Anolis sagrei: one gene and its partner. The protein of the gene in region 2 interacts with the protein of the main gene of each other region in a biochemical or structural test. Links are inferred from orthologs where the notes say so. Each region holds a gene or a part of one and is shown on either strand. Other genes may lie near its edges.

What was found. The genes of interacting proteins can lie anywhere in the genome.
Region 1: the proteins of PKD1 (region 2) and HDAC9 form a complex in vitro, tested with the Homo sapiens proteins (2 studies listed by BioGRID, with this or other methods). The link is inferred for Anolis sagrei from reciprocal best matches to the Homo sapiens genes PKD1 and HDAC9.

What each region holds. Positions count from the first base shown.
Region 1 is NC_090026.1:95,497,627-95,504,928, forward strand, and holds the start of HDAC9 (histone deacetylase 9), read right to left. Parts: upstream 3,034-7,302; 5' UTR 2,727-3,033; intron 1-2,726. UniProt on the Homo sapiens protein: Responsible for the deacetylation of lysine residues on the N-terminal part of the core histones (H2A, H2B, H3 and H4).
Region 2 is NC_090034.1:21,180,130-21,187,582, forward strand, and holds the start of PKD1 (polycystin-1), read right to left. Parts: upstream 3,011-7,453; 5' UTR 2,773-3,010; coding exon 2,486-2,772; intron 1-2,485. UniProt on the Homo sapiens protein: Component of a heteromeric calcium-permeable ion channel formed by PKD1 and PKD2 that is activated by interaction between PKD1 and a Wnt family member, such as WNT3A and WNT9B. Both PKD1 and PKD2 are required for channel activity.

The sequences.
Region 1 (7,302 bases), on a different chromosome or scaffold from region 2:
TGGATTCCAGACAAAGGTTGCTTAACCTGTAATTGATTTGTGTCCAATGTTTAGATGAAATCTAAAACGAATTATGCTCTTCCAAGACACAGTGACTATAATCGCAACACTAAATGTTTGCATTCTCAGAGCTGAGCTCTTCCACCTGTTTGATACAGGCAATGCACTCTCTACTGAGACTTTCCTGAGCAGCTTTTTAAAATTACCCAATTCATCTTTATAAGTGTAGAATTTAGAACGCTCTTACCAACTGGCCTACAAATGATTCTTCCCCTTTCCTGTCACCCACCAGCTCTACCCTTTTTCAGGACAAAATTCAAATAACTATGGGATTCCAAAGGAGGTGATACCAAATGAGGAGTGGCGTGGAAAACCTGCCAAATCAGTTATTCTTATTATTAATTATGTTTAATTGCCATCATTCAAAAGCAAGGGAAAGTTAGTACAACCACTTCTCCCCCGACCAAAAAAAAAATCAACTCTGTGCCAAATTTATCCTGCTTATGAAAGACAGCATTGTGTAGCGGTTTGACATCTATAACTCTGGAGACCAACGATGCAACAAGAGTGTAGAAATAATGCAGTTTGATATCAATTTACCTGCCTTGACTCAATTCTGTGGAACCATTAGAGTTGGAACTTGACAAAGACTTGAGTCTCCTCTGTCAAAGAGGGCTGGTGTTTCATGAAACTACAAATCCCATGATTCCATAGCATTGAGCCATGGCAGTCAAAGTGGTGTCACGCTGCATTCATTCTGTAGTGTAGATCAGTGGTTCCCAACCTGTGGTCTGTGGACCATGACAAGAACGAAAATATGATCTGCGGCCTCACCATTACTACACCGTTGCCATGAAACCACGCAGAAACAAGAGCAAGTCATCTCGCAAAACCCTCTTATAGTACCGAGGCAATAGGGATGTCGAGAGGGAAGAAGCCGTCTATCCATGAAAGATTACTACTGCCACATCAGCTCTGGATTATTAAATATGGTTTTCTGTGGGCGAGCAGATGGCGACTACTGGATGGGATATGTTTTGTATCATAAACTAAAGCTGATGTGGTCTATTCAATGCAATTTTCTGAATTAGCACTCCAAATAACCAAACTGAATCTAAAGTTGACCAAAAACTGATTTGTAACCCTTTTGGTACTAATGTTGGGGAGTGGTCCCTGGTCAAAGTGGTCCCTGGTCCAGTGTTCCCTGGTCAAGTGGTCCCTTTTCAAGTGGTCCCTGTCAAAAAAAAAAAGATGGGGAACCACTGGTGTAGATGCACCCCTGCAAAGCCATGGAAACCCACTGGGTGAATCACAGTCTGTCAGCCTCAGAATAATGCAAGCCTCTTCTTCTACAGTCACCTACATACCCACTGCCAGGACACCGAACTTGGAGGACAATCTTACTCGGACAACGAGGGATCGCCTAAGTAAGTAAGGTCAAGTGAACCCTGGTCAAGTGGTCCTTGGTCAAGTGGCCCCTGGTCAAAGTGATCCCTGTTCAAGTGGTCCCTGGTCAAAAAAGGTTGGGAACCACTGGTGTAGATGCACCCCTGCAAAGCCATGGAAATTCACTGGGTGAGTCACAGTCTCTCAGCTTCAGAATAATGCACGCTTCTTCTTCCACAGTCACCTACGTACCCACTGCCAGAACACCTAACTTGGAGGACAATCTTACTCAGACAATGAGGAATCGCCTAAGTAAGGTCAAGTGAACCCTGGTCAAGTGGTCCTTGGTCAAGTGGCCCCTGGTCAAAGTGATCCCTGTTCAAGTGGTCCCTGGTCAAAAAAGGTTGGGAACCACTGGTGTAGATGCACCTCTGCAAATCCATGGAAACCCACTGGGTGAGTCACAAACTCTCAGCCTCAGAAGAATGCAAGCCTCTTCTTCTGGACAAAGTTTGTCAAGGCAGAAAGTTCTGTGATAGGCTGGAAACAACTAGAAGGGCACACAACAACAAGAACAACAACATGGGGAAAAGGAGGGGGGGGCAAAAGGCTGAATGAATCTGGACCTCACAACCTCTGAGGATGCCTGCATAGATGTGGGTGAAACGTCAGGGGAGAAGGCTTCTAGAACAGGTTGTTGTAGCCTGAAAAACCTACAACAACCCTGTGATTCTGGCCATGAAAGCCTTTGACAATACAATCTGGCCTTGCTCTCTCTCATACACACTGAGATGCATATACTGTAGAACAGGCATGGTCAAACTTCAGTCCTCCAGGTGTTTTGGACTTCAACTCCTACAATTTAGGAATTGTGGGAGTTGAAGTCCAAAACACCTTGAGGGCCAAAGTTTTCCCAAGATGTGCTGTAGAATGGATACAGTTTGACACCATTTGAGGCCCCATCTGCACTGACATCCAATCCAGTTTCTGAACCCAGACCTTTTTGCTTTGAACTGGATTATATGGTAAGGTAGATTCATCTAATCCAGTTCAAATCTGATGGTCTGGGTTCACAAACTTGTCGGTGGAGATCCAGCTTGAATTGCCAGGATGTGAATAGTGTGAGTTGTAGTTTCCCTAAGTCTTCTTTCACCTTCCCTGCTAAAGAGATGCCGGTGCATCACCCAACTCAGACTCCCAGGAGCCCAAAGCGGTGTCAAAGTAGGGTGTAGACAGCGGAACCCAATTCGAGGCGAGGTAGGGTGGGGGAAAGGGAGGAGAAGGGGCCACTCTGCCCTCCAGCGTGATTCCTAGGAAGGTAAAGTGGGCGCTACACTCACCTTTGGCGAGGATGCGAGAGCCTCTTTTATCTCCCGGCTCGAGGGCTGCGGCTGAGGATGGACCTGCCCAGGACTGCCATCTTCAAGGGCTGCCAGAGTCCGGAAAGTAAAAGTTGCCCCGACAGATGCAGAGGGAAGCGAAGAGGAAAGAGGAGGAGGGAGAGCCCGTCATGAAGAGGAGAGGCGGAGAAGGGGGAAGCCTCTGCCTGCTTCGTCGTCGTCGTCCTCCCTGCCGCTTTTGCTGCTGCTGCTGCATCCACTGCGAGGGGTTTCTCTCGGAGCGCAGCGCTCGCAGCCCGACGCGGCCACTCGAGGAGGATGGACTAAAAATAGCCGGCAAAAGGGAGGCGGGCGGGAGGCGGGCGCCGACGACGCCTTTGCCTTTGCCTTCGCCGCCCAAGGAGAGGCGGGGGAACTCCGAAACTGAGCGGGGAAACAGGGCAGGGGGTTGGCAGGGGCGAATGGCAACGCTAAAGCCTTCCCGAAAAGGGTGAGAGGTGGGATCCAGGCTGTGCCTTTGTTCGGACACAACCGTCCCTCTTTTCTTTCTCTCCTAATCGAGGTACCCATTAGTAAGGATGAACGAAAGAAGGATGCATTGTTGGAGATGGGCCCATAAGGGTGTGGGTAAACCACATCTCCCATCATCATCTGTCGCACCCAAACTGCATCAGTAGTTCAAGTTGGGTCTGTGTGCCAAGTCTGGTTCAGATCCAATCAATGGTTGGGTTCCGACTGCTCTCTGGACTTAGGTGAACTCTAAATCCCAATATCCAAGGGCAATTGCCCCCAAACTACACCACTTCAATTGGCCAAGTTGGGTCTGTGTGCCGAGTTTGGTCCAGATCCATCGCTGGTTGGGTTCTGACTGCTCTCTGGATGTGGGTGAACTAGAAATCCCAATATACAAGGGCAATTCCCCCGAAACCACACCACTTAAGTTGGCCAAGCTGGGTCTGTGTGCCAAGTTTGGTCAAGATCCATCTTTGGTCAGGTTCCAACTGTTCTCTGCTTGTGGGTGAGCTATAAATCCCAATATCCAAGGGCTGCTCAGCCATAGAAACTACTGGATTTGCTTGGACATGGCTCTGTTTCTTAGCCTCAGAGGAAGCAAAAGCAAACCTCTCTCTGAAATAAATTCAGACAAGAAAAACCATTGGCTGTACAGTCAGCCCTCCATATTAACAGGATACCCTTATTCCTTGCCACTGCCCACTCCTTGATTTGTGTGTGTGTGTGTGTGTGTGTGGTGTCAGGAGTGACTTGAGAAACTGCAAGTTGCTTCTTGTGTGAGAGAATTGGCCATCTGCCAGGACGTTGCCCAGGGGACACCCGGATATTTTGATGTTTTACCATCCTTATGGGAGACTTCTTTCATGTCCCCGCGTGAAGAGCTGTAGCTGATAAAGGAATGCATAGGATCTAAGCAAGCAGCCATAAATTTGACAGAAACAGCAGTCTTAAACCTATTCATAACCAAATATTACTGTATTTGTTTGACACAGGACGTTGTGTCAGATAAATAGGCATATGACTGCATCCAAAAGACTGTTAGATGTAGCGAATCTGAATTGTCTTTAGTTAGCTAAATAATGACTATGCCCTAGAACAATACGAGGAAAATGCATTGCAAACTAGTCTTAGCAAGGCTCACTTTCAGATTCCAGACATGGTTTATCAGTTTTACTAGCATGTGGGTTAAACCACTGAGCTGCTAATCTTGTTGACCGAAAGGTCACAGGTTTGAATCTGGGAAGCAGTGTGAGCTTCCGCTGTTAGCCCCAGCTTCTGCCAACCTAGTAGTTCGAAAGCATGCAAATGTGAGTAGATCAATAGGTACCGCTCCGGCAGGAAGGTAATGGCGCTCCATGCAGTCATGTTGGCCACATGACCTTGGAGGTGTCTACGGACTAAACTGGCTCTTCAGCTTAGAAATGGAAATGAGCACCAACCACCAGAGTCGGACACGACTGGACTTAACGTCAGGGAAAAACCTTTACTTTTACATTTTTTACTTTTTCCTTTAACATTTTAAAAGTGGCTCCTAATGTGTTTAAATTTAAATTTAAATATCCATTCAAATCAGGGATAAGAAATCTTAACCAGCCATAATACTTGGGACTATTGGTTCTACAGTCTCTCCCCATTGGTTTTTATGTTTTGGACTTGTACACCTGAAAGGTCTGTTTCCCTACCAATGATTTCATTGGTCAGCAATGTGTTTAAAAAACCCTTTTATGTACAAGTGCAAAACATCAAAAGATAGCATATGTCTCCACATATTCATAGATGTTTGCTGTACAAAGGCAGGTTCTGAAGACGGGGAAGGGCCAAAATAGCATTAAACTTCTTTTGCTTTCCATTATTACTTCAATAGCTTGCTATTCCTCCAAGAAATATATTCCAGTAGGCATAATTCTTACCCAAAACACTATGAAAAATGCTCCTCCATAAACATGCCTAGAATCTTTATTGCATGAATACACTTAATGTATGTGTATTCAAAATAATATAACTTTAATCATAGCTAGAAAATTAAAATGCACAAAAATCATGAAAACTCTTATATAGCAAATTATGTATAAGAAAGATTTAGTCTAAACATTATGAAAAGCTTACTGACAGCAAATGCTGTTTGAAAATAGAATGTGCTATCTCAGGAAGGGGGGGATACTGCTTTGTGAGAAGTTTTTTTAACAGTGATTAAGTAGCCACGGGGGGGGGGGGGGTTAGGGGTTCAATGCCCCCCTCCCCTGAAAAAAAAACTGGTTTACTCATGAATTTTAACTGGTTAACCAAATCCCCATGCTAAGTCTATGAGACGCAAAAAATTAAGAGTCCCTCCAGAACTGCAAGCGCTATCTCAAGCAAATATTGACAATTTATTCACACTGTCATTACTTGCAGCAATAGCCGATGTAGTGAAGCAACCAAGTTGGGGGGGGGGGGAGTGTTGAATGCTCTCATTAAGGAGGCCAGACTTGGTGGAGGTGGTTGACAGGGGTGGAGCTGCAGGCTATTGAAGGCTGCTCTGCCCCCTGCTGTGCTCTTTGCTTAGGCGTGAGCTCAGAGGCAGGTTTCAACCCCCCCCCACGTGAAATTTTCAAATCCCCCCCCCCAAATTTCAACCCCTCCCAAAAAAAATTCTGGCTACGGCCCTTGCCATGTCTCAGGGGCCTCAGTAGTGGATCTTTGCATTAGTAGGGGAGTAGACAAGATGACTGTTGGAGTGCTTTACAACCCTATGAATCAATGCATCTTCCTTTTCATTTTAGCAAGTTTTAATAGTTCTTCTTTGTGTGTTATCAGTGTAAAAATCTGGTTTATGCTTTATATTTTTGAAAAAAAACTACCAATAGCATCAAAATGTTGTCTTCAGAAATTGGGGAAAATGTCATTTCACTTGCCAAGGTATACAGGCACTCCCCAAGTTATGAACCAGATAGGTTCTGTAGATAATGAGTTACACGTAAAATTTACCTGTTCTGACTTACAAACAAATTCAGTTGAAGAACAAACCTACAGAGCTTATTTTGTTCATAACTTAGGGAGTGCCTGATGGCACAGTGAGCTGCTGAACTTGCTGACCAAAAGGTTGGCAGTTCAAATCTGAGGAGTGGGGTGAGCTTCCGCTGTTAGGCCCAACTTCTGCCAACCTAGCAGTTTGAACATGTAAATGTGAATAGATCAACAGGTACTGTAGGAAGGTAACAGCAGTCCATGCAATCATGCTGGCCACATGACTTTGGAGGTGTCCTGGGAAACCTTTATCTTTACACTATATATAAGTAAAAGTAAAGGTTGTCTCCTGACATTAAGTCCAGTCATGTCTGACTCTGTGGTGTGGTGCTCATTTCAATTTCTAAGCCAAAGAGCTGGCGTTGTCTGTAGACACCTCCAATGTCGTGTGGCCGGCATGATTGCATGGAGCGCCGTTACTTTCCCGCCTATTGATCTACTCACATTTGCATGTTTCAAACTGCTAGGTTGGCAGAAGCTGGGGCTGTCAGAGGAAGCTCACACTGCTCCCTGGAATCGAACTTGCGACCTTTCGATCAACAAGCTCAGCAGCTCAGCGCTTTAACCCACTGTGCTACTGGGGGCTCCTAGACACTATATGTGTGTGTGTGTGTGTGTGTGTGCAACCTTCGTTCATCCAACGTTCTGTATTATCCAATGCAATCTGCCTCCAGCCCTGATTCACAGCTGTTTCAATACATTGTGATGTTTTGGTGCTAAATTGGGAAATACAGTAATTACTACATGATATTACCATGTATTAAACTGCTTTTGCTGTCAATTTGTTGTAAAACATGAAGTTTTGGTGCTCAATTTGAAAAATCATAATGTAATTTTATGTTTAATAGGTTTTTCCTTAATCTCTCTTTATTATCCAATATTTTTGCTTATCCAGCATTCTGCTGGTCCGTTTATGTTGGATAAGCAAGGCTCTACTGTATATATAAAAGCTTTGGATAGCATACGGACTGCCTTGACTCTGAAGGAGCTGGGGGTAGTGATGGTCGACAAGGAGCTCTGACGTGGGCTGGTCCATGAGGTCATGAAGAGTCGGAAG
Region 2 (7,453 bases):
AGAGGAAGGCAATGGTAAACACTTCATAATAATAATAATAATAATAATAATAATAATAATAATATAGCAATGGCAAACACCTTATACTAACAACAACAACAGTAACAATAACCAACTGTATTTATATTTCACCACCATCTCCCAAAAGGGATTCGGGGCGGCTTACAAAGCACATAGTAGTGCAAACAGAATACACAAAATACAGTAAAATACATATAACACATAATATGCCTTCCGTATAAGGGCAACCTTAAGACCGCTATAATGTGGAAATGAAGACAAATAACAAAGGCAGAGAAGGCTCAAGACCTTACAAAACTACCCCGTAGCATTGAGCCTTGGCAATTAAGGGGGCATCAAACTGCAGTCATTACACAGTGCAGAAGCAACTCTAATACATACTTAGAAATATCAATAAATACACTGAATCGGAGATTGCAAAGGATGCTCAAACCCTGCAATCTCATTTCTCCTCTCAAAGGCAAACAACCCAATACCAATGATTTCAAAAGAGGGCAGGTTAAAGGACCTGAGATACTAAGAAAACTTCAGCTGATAGAGTTTCTTAGGAAATGCAAGCATTTAGACCCCTCTCCAATTAATTTGGAGAGAAAAGCACAATTCGGAAGTCAATCGGGTACAAAGGTGGAAAGGGCTACTTATCAGACCTCCAATTTACTGCATTTCCTCTTTTTGAAATCCTCAAAGTATAAAGGATATTAATTATTTCAACCCGCAAGGTTGAAGTTGCATCCACCTCAAAGCAAGTTGTTGAGGAAAGCAGAAAGCAAAATAGGACAGGAGTGTATATCGAACAATGTAATATATTTTCTCCACCTTATTTATTATACCAGAATGACAGATCATAAACAAACGTGAGCTTTGATTTATACAACTAGCTGTGGTTAACCCTTGGAACTCACTGCCACAAGGTGTGGAGAGGCCTTTGAAAGTGGGAAGCATTGAGATGGATTCATACATTGGTCTTATTTTCATTGCAATGGTGGGCAGCCACACACAAAAACTCTTCCAAAGATGAAACAACATCATTCAAGAACGTATGCTGCACTTGAATTGCCATGTGTCAATGGTATAGAATCTTTAGATTTATAGCTTTGCCACGTCTGTAACTGTCTCTGTCCAAGAGACAACACCCAGGATCCCATAGCACTGAGCCATGACAGAGAAAACAATTTCAAACTGCATTCATCCTGCTGTGCAGACGCATCCCTTGTGGCAGGGAGTTCCATAGGACCTCCTCTATGGATTCTCCTTATCCTGGGACCCTTCCCCTTCCTCCATTCTGCTTTTGGAGTCCACACCCCCCCCCCCCACAAGGAGACAAAGCCCACCCCATCTTTTTTAGAGACACCCCTCACCCCAGTCCCCAAATGTATAACTGTAAACAGGCAATGCAAAGGCAGGAAAGAACCCGGTATCCAAACCTTTCCTTTCTTTCCCCTTTGCGTACAGCCATTCCTGCCCCCTTGGCAACCTTTGTGGCAACCTTTGAGCCTTTCTTTGGGATGAGCTGAAGAAAAGCCCAGTCTCCACACATTCCCATCCCTTTTTACACACAGCCAACTCTGCTCCTTGTGGCGAGGAGTTGCAAAGGCTCCCCCCTTGGCCTTCTCCAGGGACCTATTCCCTTTCCTCCAGTGGCCTCTTGGGGTCCACAATCCCCTCCTTTAGGGCACCCTGCCTTTGAAGCCTTCTTTGGGATGAGCCCAGTCTCCAAACCTTCCCTTTCCTTTTAGACACAGCCAACTCTGCTCCTTGTGGCAAGGAGTTGCAAAGGCTCCCCCTTGGCCTTTTCCTGGGACCTTTTGCCTTTCCTCCAGTGGCCTCTTGGGGTCCACAATCCCCCCTTTTAGGGCACCCTGCCATTCATCATCCCTCCTTTTCGGGCACTTTACAATTCATAACCCCTTATTTAGGAAGAGCTGGGGAAGAGCCCAGTCTCCAAAGCTTCCCTTTCCTTTCAGGCACAGCCAACTCTGCTTCTTGGGGCGAGGAGTTGTAACGGCTCCCTGGCCTTCTCCTGGGACCCTTCTCCTTTCCTCCAGTGGCCTCTTGGGGTCCACAACCCCTCAATTTAGGGTACCCTGCTTTTGAACCCCTCTTTGGGAAGAGCCGAGGAAGAGCCCGGTCTCCAAACCTTCCCTTCCCTTTTGACGCACAGCCAACTCTGTTCCTTGTGGCGAGGAGTTGCTAAGGCTCCCCCCCCCCCCGGCCTTTTCAGGGGACCGATTCCTTTTCTTCCAGTGGCCTCTTCTTGTCCGAAATCCCCCCCCCCCTTTTTTGGGCCACCCTGCCTTTGAAGCCTTCTTTGGGAAGAGTTTTAGAGGAGCCCGCCCTGCCTCGCAGCCTTCTTGGCCTGTTGTCGCACAGCCCGCTCTCCTTGCCGAGGCTCCCCGGGCGCCCCTGGTTCCTCGGGGTGCCTTGGGGGCCCCTTTCCCCTCCCCGGGGGGCCCCTGGTACTCACAGGGCGGCGGTGTTGGCGGGGAAGGGCGCCCCCGAAGGCGGGAAGCGGGGCCAGCCCTTGTTGGCGCAGTCCAGGGCGCAGGCGAGGGCGCTGGCGGCGGGGAGGCTCCTGCAGCTGCAGTCCGGGGGACAGGGCTGGCAGCCCCCGCCGCCGCCTCCTCCTCCTCCGCCGCCGCCTCCTCCTCCTCCTCCCCGGGGCCCTCCGGCTCCGACGGGGCCCGGGGCCAGCCCCCCTCCCAGCAGGCAGCACAGGAGGCACCAGCCCGGGCATGGCTTCAGCGCGGGCATGGCATGGCCCCCTCCCGGGCCCTTCAGTCCCAGCCCCGCACCCACATGGCCGCGCCTGCTTTGCGCGACTCCGTCTTCTCGTTTCTGCCTGGGCGCTCTGGACGCTTCGCTCCGGCCTCTCTGCGCCTTCCTCCCTTCCTCCCTTCCTCTTCTCTTCTCTCCTCTCCTCTCCTTCCGCCTCTTTTCTCCCCCCTCTCCTTTCCCCTCTCTTCCTCCTCTTTTTTCTTTCTTTTTTGGGACGTCCTCAAGTCTTCCTCATTCCATCCAGGCGGTGGCAGCAGGAGCAACCAAAAGGAGCTCATTTTGGAGAGCGGGGAGGGGGGGGGGAGTATCATACCAGGCTTGAGTGGAAAGTAATGCCTCCACCTTCCTAACTCCTCAACAGACGGCAGTACTGGTATGCGGCAGGTACTGGCTTGTTCCGTAGACTCTCCTCTACAGCTGCCAAAGGTGGAATCAGGTGTCAAACAGGGATGTGTTATTGCCCCAACCTTATTTTCCATCTTCATTGCTATGATCCTTCATCATGTTGATGGGAAGCTTCCCACAGGAGTGGAAATTTATCTGTCGGACAGATGGCAAGCTGTTTAACCTCAGCAGACTGAAAGCCAAAACCAAGGTCACAACAACATCTGTTATAGAACTCCGGTATGCTGATGACAACGTCGTCTGTGCGCATTCAGAAGAAGACCTACAAGCCATTCTAAACACCTTCGCAGAAGCATACAACAAGCTTGGCCTGTCATTTAAAAGCAAGAAAACCAAAGTGCTCTTTCAGCAGTTCCCAGCCAGTCCCTCTCCAATGCCAGAAATACAGCTTAATGGTGTAACATTAGAAAATGTTGACCATTTCCACTACCTTGGCAGCCACCTCTCCACAAAAGTCAACACTGATACAGAAATACAACACTGCCTGAGCTCTGCAAGTGCAGCATTTTTCCAAATGAAGCACAGAGTGTTTGAGGACCGGGACATCCGTAGGGATACCAAGGTGCTTGTTTATAAAGCTATAGCCCTCCCAACCCTGCTATATACTTGCGAGATGTGGACTATCTATAGACATCACAAGCAACTCCTAGAACAATTCCATCAGCGTTGCCTCCGAAAAAGGCTGGCCCTTGAGCGCTTCAGCTGGAGGTCAGCTGTGACCAGCAGTGCTGTAGAATTTGAAGTGGCACGAATGGAGGGTGAAAGAGAGAAACATGTCAAGAGGAAGGCACGTCAAGCCAACCCCACCAGGACTGCCTTCCACCTGGAAAGCAATGCCCTCACTGCGGGAGAACATGCAGATCAAGAATAGGGCTCCACAGCCACCTATGGACCCACCTCCAGTACACCAATCTTGGAAGACAATCCTACTCGGACAATGAGGGATCATCTAAGTAAGTAAGTACTGGTATGTGGCAGGTACTGGCTTGTTCAGTAGACTCTCCTCTACAGTTTCATTTTGGCTGGAAGCCTTAGCATTGAACGGTTGTGTTGTTAAATTGTGAAGTATGGAACCCTGTGCAGACGGTCGGTCAATGCGACTTAAGCAATGTGCAGTCATTGAATTCTTGACAGCAGAAGGTGTCACCCCAAAGGAGATTCATCAGAGAATGCAAGCTGTTTATGGTAATTGTGTTGATGTGAGTTCTGTGCATCATTGGGTGAGTAAGTTTAAAGATGTTGAGGTGGGAACATCTGACTTGCATGACAAAGAGTTGGACATCCTGTGACAGCAACCACCGAGTTTCATAAGCAAAAGGTTGACAGATTGATTTAGGATGATCATCCTCTTGGTATGTTTCTCTCTTTCACCCTCCATCCGTGCCTCTTCCAATTCTACAGCACTGCTGGTCACAGTTGACCTCCAGCTGAAGCGCTCAAGGGTCAGGATTTTTCGGAGGCAACGCTGATGGAATCGTTCTAGGAGTTGCTTGTGACGTCTATAGATAGTCCACGTCTTGCAGGCGTATAGCAGGTTGGGAGGACAATAACTTTATAAACAAGCACCTTGGTCTCCCTACGGATGTCCTGGTCCTCAAACACTCTGTGCTTCATTTGGAAAAATGCTGTACTCGCAGAAGCATATGAGAAATTTCAAGCATTTCACAGGAACGTATGGGTCACATCATTGCTTTGCTTGGCTATCGGAAGATCTGTGCACAATGGGTACCCAGGATGCTAATGCCTGAAATGAAAGCGCACAGACTTGAAACTTCAGAGACTGGATCTCACCACCGTATGACATCCTCCTTACAGTCCAGATTTAGCACCATCTGACTTCCATCTGTTCCCGATAATGAAAGAAGATCTGCAGGGACATCATTATGCTTCTGATTAATACTTTGAGAGAACTGTGCGACGCTGCTTGCGGAAACAGAGTGTCGACTTCTTCTGTGACGGCTTCAGAAAACTTGTTCATCGTTGGCAGAAATGTATCCAATTGTCTGGTGATTATGTGGAAAAGTAGTAGTTAAAGAGCACATTCAAAGGATTATTCCTGTGTTCGATTAAGATATTCCCATCCAAACCCAAGTAACGAAGGTGGAGGCATTACTTTTCATTCAACCCTCAGAGAATAATAAGAGCTGGAAGAGACCACACGGACCATCTAGTCCAACCGCCTTCTTTCATGCAAGCAAAGCACCCCCGACAGATGGCCATCCAGCCTCTGTTTAAAAAAGTGTTTCTCAACCTTCCTAATGCTGGGATCCCTTAATACAGTTCCTCATGTTGTGGTGACCCCCAACCTTATTTTCCCATCTTCATTGCTATGATCATCTTGTTGACAGGAAGCTGAGTGGAAATAATCTATCAGACAGGTGGCAAGCTATTTAACCTCAGCACTCTGCAAGCCAAAACCAAGGTCACAACAACATCTGTTATAGAACTCCAATATGCTGATGACAATGTCGTCTGTACACACTCAGAAGAAGACCTACAAACCACTCTAAACAACTTCACAGAAGCATACGAGAAGCTCAGCCTCTCATTGAACATTGAGAAAACCAAAGTACTCTTCCAGCAGGCACCAACTAATCCCTCTCCAATGTCAGAAATACAGCTTAATGGTGTAACATTAGGAAATGCTGCCATTCCCCTACCTTGGCAGCCACCTCTCCACAAAAGTCAACATTGACACTGAAATACAACACCACTTGAGCTCTGCGAGTGCAACATTCTTCCGAATTTGATTGGACTTAATGTCAGGGGAAAACCGTTGCAGACTCAGACTTGGTTGTGTTAATATTTTAAGGGCCAATATTTTTAGTGTATTTTATTGCTTTTTAAATGTATTTTTATTGCAGTTGACCTGTTGATGTTAATTGTTGTGCTCTAACTGTTTCTTTGTCGGCATCTAATGACTGCAAATTGTAAGCTGTCCTGAATCCCCTTTCGAGGGTTGAGAAGGATGGGATACAAATGCTCTGAATAAGTAAATAATAAATACCTTAACCTTAATCTTGGTATTAATAATATTAGTAATAATAATTGTGCAGTTTTCTGGCATTGTATATTTTTGCCGCTTCTGTGACTGTTCATTTGTATTTTGATTCTGTAGCTCACTTGTTGATGGATGTCCAGAATCAGCAGCATCCACCATAGTCCTTTTCATCCCGGACATCGGCCGAGCCAGTATAGACTTAATTTTGGTTTGTTTCTCCATAGTGCTAATGGGTTGGGTGCTCTTAGTTCCACTTCTCAGCTGAGACCTCTCTGGCTTGGTTGGACCTGCTGGTAGTTTATTTATTTATTTATTTATTTACTATTCTTGTATACCGCTGTATCTCAAGCCCGAGGGCGACTCACAGCGGTTTCCAGAAAGCAAACAACAAAGACAGTAAAAACAGCAGTAATCAATAAGTCAAACAGTTAAACTACACAATTCCATTTCTAGCAATAAACAAACATCAATACACAGTTATCACAAAAAACCCACCCCGGGTCGCCTCATCTTCCAAACGTAGTCCAAGTTCGTTGTCCATTGTTCCGTTCCTATGTTCAATTTACCAGAGATTGCACTAAGTTACTCAAATGCCTGCACAAACATCCAGGTCTTTAACTTTCTACGGAATGTCATAAGCGATGGTGCCAGCCTAACATCTACAGGAAGGGCGTTCCACAGCCGAGGAGCCACCACCGAGAAGGCCCTATCTCTCGTCCCCGCCAGCCGTGCTTGAGAGGCTGGCGGGATCGAGAGCAGGGCCTCCCCGGAAGATCTCAAAGTTCGGGTGGGTTCATAGGCCGAGATGCGGTCAGATAGGTATCTTGGGCCGGAACCGTTCAGGGCTTTATAGGCCAGTACCAACACCTTGAATTGGGCTCGGTAGCAAATCGGCAGCCAGTGGAGCTGGTGCAACAGGGGGGTTGTGTGCTCCCTGCGCTCCGCTCCCGTTAGAATCATGGCTGCCGCGCGTTGGACTAGTTGCAGCTTCCGGGCCGTCTTCAGGGGCAGCCCCACGTAGTGAGTGTTGCAGTAGTCTAGGCGGGATGTGACAAGAGCGTGTACCACCGTGGCCAAGTAGTTACACTACTGCCAAGCCATCAGAACAAATGCCATTAAGGCTAGGATCGAAAATTCAGCTGATGACCCAAAATGCAGACTGTGCAAGGAAGCTGAGGAAACCATGGACCATCTCCTCAGCTGTTGCAAGAAAATCACACAGATGGACTACAAACAGAGGCACAACTCTGT